Sus scrofa: one gene and its partner. The protein of the gene in region 2 interacts with the protein of the main gene of each other region in a biochemical or structural test. Links are inferred from orthologs where the notes say so. Each region holds a gene or a part of one and is shown on either strand. Other genes may lie near its edges.

Region 1 (3,826 bases), on a different chromosome or scaffold from region 2:
CATTCCCACCATCTCATTTCCAATTCTGCCTTTGGTAGCAGGTTACCTAATGAAGAGTGGAGTATGAGGGATTCACAAACAATGCCACCAAAAGACCTTCCCCATAACTTTCTTCCCTCTAAACTTCTGGATTAGAGTTCAAAAAAAAAGCTTTGTGTGGCCATCCCAACACTTCATGAAACCAATTTTATCACAAGAGTTCATTGAAACAAGGTTCACAGTACTGTTTAAGTACTGGGTAACACAGATTCCAGAAGATAAAAACTTACCGGAGCCATTGCTTGCCTCTTTGTTTGAGATGGCACTTGCAGATGGTAGCAACTGATGTACCTGTGCTTGCTGGTCTGAACGGCTACTGCCATTTGGGACATTTTTGTTCCACATGTTCACATTTTTGTAGTTGTATTTGCTTGGATCTCCCCAAGCTGAAGTTCCATCATCGATCTCCATTTTGCGACGTATGGATTCTGGGGATGGCTCCTCCCAGCCTGTGGGTTCTTCTTCTTTAGCTGGGGCTGGTATAGGTCCTCCCAACCAGCCTGTACCTGGAGGTTTGCCTGTGGCTGGCAGGATTCCCCATGATCCGACAATGTCTTGTTGCTTGTTCCAGTCCGGAGAACTGACTGGCTTTGACGAATCTCCCCAACCTAGAGACTGATTAGACTTTGGAGGATCCCCCCATCCCTGGGAAGGATTCGATTTAGAAGATTCATCCCATCCTGATGAATTATTTGGATTTATGTTATTTCCCCAAGTAAAAGAGCTAGTTTTACCAAGTTCATTCCAACCAGAAACGGACCTGTCACTGTCACTACCTCCTGAGCTAGATTTCTTATTAGCCTCACCCCAATGGTTGCTCCTTGAAGTTTCTCCCCAGTTATCACCGGCAGAAACGGACCACCCTTGGTTTGATTTTTGTCCATCACCCCATCCCTGTTTGTTCTTTTGCGAATCATTCCATGCGGACTTCTCTTCTTTGCAATTCCCCCACTGATTGCTCTTGACCATTCCTGTAGCAGCAGAATCATCTTCCCATCCCCCCTGGCAGTTTGAGCCTTTGGAATCTCCCCACCTCAGAGCAGGTTTGGGATCTCCCCACCCCGATACAGATGAGGTATCATTACTATTAGGGCTAGTCTTCTCTATACATGCCCCTGAGTTAAAAGTCTGTGTTGCAGAGCTTCCCCAGGCCTCTGTCCCATTGTCAGTCTTTCTTTCCCCTCTAGGTGATGTTTCCGTATCCCAGGCAGTATTCTGCTTAATAGGAGTCTGTCCCCAACCAGAGTTGGAGAGGACACGTGGATCTAAGTCAGTTCTGTTTACAATGCTTTGGAGTAATGTGTGCTGATCAATTTTTCTTCTATCTCTACTCTGATTTTCCCCAGTTCCTTTTTCCTCGAGGCGTCCAGTGCTTTCTGTACTACCTTCACTCTCCACTGTACCTCCTGTTTTGGCCCACACACTGTTTTGCTCATTTGTCTGAGATGTGGCAGAACCCTGATCCTCTTCCTCAGTAGATTTCCATCCATTTGTAAACTTCTTACCATTGCCATTTGCACTGTCATTGGAATGCTGATTGCTAGGCAGTTTGTTCCATTCCACGCTGGGTATGTTAGTGCCAGTGTTTTGTGCAGGAGCTCCCCATCCTCTTCGACTTCCGCCAGAATTTGCACCATTTCCATTTCCCCATGATGCACTCTGGGAATTCGCTGTCCCAGACTCCCACACACCTCCTCCTTTATTTGTGTTAACTTGAAAGTTAGTGCCCATAGGCCCATTTATGCCAGGCTGCATTAGAGTTGCATTCACAGTGTCACCATTAGCTTGGCCATTAGGGCTTGAACATTTGTCTCCAGAGTAATTAGAACCATAGGCACCCCATGTAGTACCGTAAGAGCCTCCACTTTTTGACTCTCCATTGCTAAGGTGAGAAAGGGAAGTGCCATTCATAACCGATGGAGCCTGTATCTGAGGATGATTCATTGTGCTCACACGCCAGGCCCCTGTATTACTAGGCAGTTCATTATTTTGTACTGAACCGGAGTTTGGTAAACTAGAGGTCATAAAGTTAGTAGTGTTATTTGGTCCAGTCATTTCAGTGGTAATATTTTGAGGTTGACCACTGAATGAAACCTTCTGTGTACCACTTACTTCAGATTCACAAGTTTCCTGAAGGCTTCCCCAGGTACCATGGGTAGAAGAACCACCCACTTTAGAGTTAATACTCTGATTGTTAGGCATCTGGCCTAAGGTACTGCACTGAATATTGATGCCAGAACTACCACTCCCTACAGGCCCTTTTAGGGCAAGTCCATTGTTCTCTAATACTGGCCAGGCACCATGGTTGCTAGCTGAATTCAAAGTGCTTGGATTTAACCCTCCATTTGATGAAGAACTTACAGTGCCCCAAGCATTCATTCTATTGTTGCTACTTTCTGATTTGCTTTCAGGAGCATCCACAGAGACCTGACATGTGCTTATTATGGCTCCATGGGAAAAACCCCATGGCCCAGTACTACTTCCATGGCCTACATTATTGCTGCTGCTACCAACCACAAACTTGTTTTGGGATCCAAGTCCAGTGCTATTCCGAAGGCCATCTTTTTCGCCACCTGTGCTCCCTGAAGCCATGATAGTGATGTTTCGCTCTGATTCAGAACTGGAAGCAGAATCAGCATCCATACATTCTGAAGCCAACTCTGGATCACTGCCAGGGACTGAGGGCCATGCTTCTTTTTCAGGGGAGTCGTTTACAACAGCATTCTTACAGTTTGTGCTAGAGTCACTTGTAGAAGACACAGGTCCCCGCTGCAAATTTTCATAATGGGATCCTGAAGTACTGTGGTTAATATCTAGAATAAAGAAGAAGCACAAAAAAATCTACGGTAATTGGGAGAAAAAAAAAAAAAAACACATTATAAACGTGCACGGTTCTTCAACATCAACATGATACAATACCTAGCAGCATAATTAAAAGTGCATTGGTTATATCCCAGCCACCAACTTTCCATAGCCAGTAATTAATTTCGTACTGGTGGGGAATTTTGCTGCTTTGTACACTGATGTTATCCTAAGAGCCTGCAGCACTACTTGGAACATAAGAGCCCCTCAAGAAACATCTGTTGAATGAATGAACTGTTCACTTATCAGCAAATAAAAGAATTCTCGAGTCAGGAACGGTAAGGTGGTAGTGATGTACTAGGATAATGGAGCAGCCCAGGTTTGGTGGCCTGACAAGGGAAAGAAGGACCTGGGATGGAGTTCCTACTGTGGTGTGCTGGATTTAAGAATCTGACCGCAGAGGCTTGGATGGCTGCGGAGGGGCGGGTTCAATCCCTGGCCGGGAGCAGTGCGTTAAAGGATCCGGCACTGCCACAGCAATGGCATAGGTTGCAGCTGTGGCTCAGATTCAACCCCTGGCCCAGGAACTTGAATATGCTGTGGGGGCAGCCATTTAAAATGGGGGGGGGGGAAGGGCTGGGATATAAATGGGTAAAAGGACAAGAAAACAGGCCGAACATGATGAAATATTTCAGAAATACATTAGGAATCCTTTTCTATCCACCCTGTTTAAGAATAGCTTTATCACACACCTGTTTTGGGTATAAGAATTATAAAACCTTTTCCATTACGCTTCTATGTCATTAGTATTGATATTCAACCTGAAAAACACTGCATACAAGCAAAAATAATTTTAGTTCTACTCTCCTTAATAAACATGTCCTAATTTACCTTGACACCATGTTTATTAGCAGACAACCGAAAAATGGTCATGTTGAAGATCACAAAGTTATTATGATTTAAAAAAAAAAAAAAAACAACTGCT
Region 2 (3,570 bases):
TCCCTGACCTCACTCAGTGGGTTAAAGATCCCGCGTTGCTGTGTGAGCTTTGCTGTAGGTCCAAGACACAGCTCACTCAGAATCTGTGTTGCTGTGGTTGTGGCGTAGGCTGGCAGTTGTAGCTCTGATTTGACCCTAGCCTGGGAACCTCCATATTCGACGGGTGCAGCCCTAAAAAGCAAAAAAAAATAAAATAAGCAGGATTAGAGTTCTGATGGGTGGCCATCTCTGCAGTGCTGAGATGCAGGTTTGATCCCCAGCTTAGTGCAATGTGTTAAGGATCTGGCATTGCCAAAACTGCAGCTCAGATCTGATCTCTGGCCTAGGAACTCCACATGCCACACAGCAGCCAAAAAAAAAAGGGGGGGGGCAGGATTGTATAGCTCAGTTGGTCATCATCTACTAGGGTCTCTTAAATACAACAATGAATCCAGAACACCAAAAGATGTAGTTCAATTTGGAGTTCCCATTGTGGCACAGTGGAAACGAATCTGACTAGGAACCATGAGGACACAGTTTAAATCCCTCGCCTCACTCAGTGGGTTAAGGATCTGGCATTGCCATGAGTTGTGGTGTAGGTCGCAGATGCAGCTCAGATCTAGCATTGCTGTGGTCATGGTGTAGGCCAGTGGCTGCAGCACCGATTCAACCCCTAGCTTGGCGACCTCCATATGCCATGGGTGCAGCCCTAAAAAGGAAAAAAATAAATAAAATGTAGTTCAACCAGGCATGATGCAACCTACAATAGGAATTATACTGTGAATTTTTTGTAGAGCAGGTAAAGAAGTCCTATTCATTAATCTTTTTACACCTAATAGTTAACATACTGCTTGGCAAAGAGGCACCAATAAATGTTGGAATAATAGGCTAACAAAACAAGTAACATCAGCCTATTTTAAAAGAACATGTTTGTTTTTTGTCTTTTTGCTTTTTCTAGGGCTACTCCCTCAGCATACGGAGGTTCCCAGGCTAGGGGTCAAATCAGAGCTGTAGCTGCCAGCCTACGCCAGAGCCACAGCAGTGGGAGATCTGAGCCGTGTCTGCAATCTATACCACAGCTCACGCAACATCAGATCCTTAAACCACTGAGCGAGGCCAGGGATCAAACCCACAACCTCATGGTTCCTAGTCAGATTCGTTAACCACTGAGCCACAACGGGAACTCCCAGAACATGTTTATTTTCACATACACACTGAAATATTAACTGAGGTGCTAAGTATTCTTTCCTTTATGTTTCCTGTGTTTTCTGTATTGAGCAGATACTATCCAATTAAAGATACAATGATGGAGTTCGCATTGTGGCTCAGTGGAAATGAATCTGACCAGGATCCATTTTGAGGATGCAGGTTCGACCCCTGGCCTTGTTCATTGGGTTAAGGATCTTGGTGTTGCCGTAGCTGTGGTATAGGTCCAATTCGACCTACAGCTTCGATAAGACCTCTAGCCTGGGAACCTCCATATGCTGCAGATGAGGCCCTAAAAAGAACAACAATAAAAAAGATAAAATGGCTAGCCAGTCCCATAACCATATTGACGGAACATTGTCTATTGTGGCTTAAAGTATTTTTAGGACCAGATTGTGACAAGGGCAGAGAACATGACTCAGGACTGGCTAGCTTCACCTACCTTCAGTGTCCAAGTCCACAGCCAGGTTCTGGAAGATGTCCATGTGAGCCGAGTGGGTGATCGTGCTCATTGAAGGCGTGCTACCCTTGTTGTGGATGTGTGCAATGGCCTGAGTCCCTACATAGAGCACCAGTGCATTAATGAGCTGGAGGTTGTAGCGATTGCCAGGCTCATTGGATACCTAAATGAACAAAACAGAAAGCTGACTTACTCTCACAGAGGATTAATTCAGGCACCAATTCTAAAAACCCTTTTTTATGCCTTTTGTAGAAAAGCTGAACTCCCAATATTTGTGGCTTAAATTTTAGATATTTGCTTGAATCTGTGAAGTTACTGAACAAATACACAGCTGCCCAAAATGTGGTTTTATCAAAAACAGAAACATGATTTCCCTTGAAAAGCCAGAGTTTTAACAGTTATCAGCAAAAAAGTTTATAGAGTCAAATTATGCACTATCTCAATTATAAAAAAGGATTCAGAGAGGAGAAAAAAAATGTATTTTCTCGGTATGGAAAGACTGGAAAGATGATACAACCTCAAGTCATTTTCTATACAGAAAACAACCAGAGTCTGTTTATTTATTAAGTCTTGGAGTTATGGGAATGAATATCAGCAATCAATTCTTAAAATCAGTCCATTCCCTGGCTGCCTCTTCCAAGGCTATAGTTTTGCATCACTGGCAAAATCAACTAGTAAAATGTATAATCCAGTTTTTCTTACCAGCCAGTAAAAGAGACAATGTGCTTTAAAACCTTTAAATGAAGTTGAAAAGACTAACTTCAAAGAGTCTGGGCACAAGACTGTGCATACATGAAAGATGGAGAGTTTAAGACAAACCAATTAACCTGTAGGTTGCTACGCAGATCAGACAGAAAAGTGACGGGTGATCGAGTTTTAAGATAGGAATCCAAATCCTTTTTGAACTGAGGTGGCATCACTCCAGTGAAATTGGTGAGAATCCGGGGTGCAATGTTAATTTCACTCAACATATCCACCTGCCACAGACAAATGCAATAATCATATCCAGAAGCATTTGCAGGACTTAACAGCAAATTGTATCTATTCTGGAAAATGGTAGAACTGTTTCTAAAACTATATACTTTATAAATATCTTAAAGAGCTGCTGCTTTTTATTAACAGACTTTAATTAGAAGAATCTACATATAAAGTGATTAGTAATCTCTCATTCTATACTATGTTATCTTTCTTAACACAGGATAGGTATTTTCTGTGGAGAGGTCTAGTTTACACCACTAACTGTTTTTCTCCTGGACTTGGATTTCAAATAAGAGTACAGAATGAGATTCCTCATTCACCAAGAGCCCTAGCCTTTGGAAGATGCCCTAACAGAACAAGACATGATACCTGCCACTTTAAAAAAAAGAAAGGTGGAGTTCCCATCGTGCCTCAGTGGTTAACGAATCTGACGAGGAACCATGAGGTTGTGGGTTCGTCCCTGGCCTCGCTCAGTGGGTTAAGGATCCAGCATTGCCGTGAGCTGTGGTATAGGTCGCAGACGCGGCTCGGATGCCACGTTGCTGTGGCTCTGGCGTAGGCCCGTGGCTACAGCGCCGATTCGCCCTCTAGCCTGGGAACCTCCATATGCCGCAGGAGCGGCCCTCAAAAGACAAAAAAAAAGAAAAAAAAAAAAAAGAAAGAAAGGCATGTTTAAGGGGGAAAAAAAAAAAAGGAGTTCCTGTCATGGCTCAGTGGTTAACAAACCCAACTAGTATCCATGAGGATGTGGGTTTGACCCCTGGCCTTGCTCAGTGGGTTAAAGATCCGGGCATTGCCGTGAGCTGTGCTGTAGGTCACAGACACGGCTTGGATCCCGAGTTGCTGTGGCTGTGGTGTAGGCCAACAGCTACAGCTGCAAACTGACCCCTAGCCTAGGAACCTCCATATGCCACAGGTGCAGCCCTAAAAAGACAAAAGACCAAAAA

What was found.
Region 1: the proteins of CNOT1 (region 2) and TNRC6A form a complex in vitro, tested with the Homo sapiens proteins (2 studies listed by BioGRID). The link is inferred for Sus scrofa from reciprocal best matches to the Homo sapiens genes CNOT1 and TNRC6A.

The regions. Positions count from the first base shown.
Region 1 is NW_018084874.1:617,659-621,484, forward strand, and holds part of TNRC6A (trinucleotide repeat-containing gene 6A protein), read right to left. Parts: intron 2,853-3,826; coding exon 270-2,852; intron 1-269.
Region 2 is NC_010448.4:20,274,999-20,278,568, forward strand, and holds part of CNOT1 (CCR4-NOT transcription complex subunit 1), read right to left. Parts: intron 2,623-3,570; coding exon 2,473-2,622; intron 1,809-2,472; coding exon 1,628-1,808; intron 1-1,627.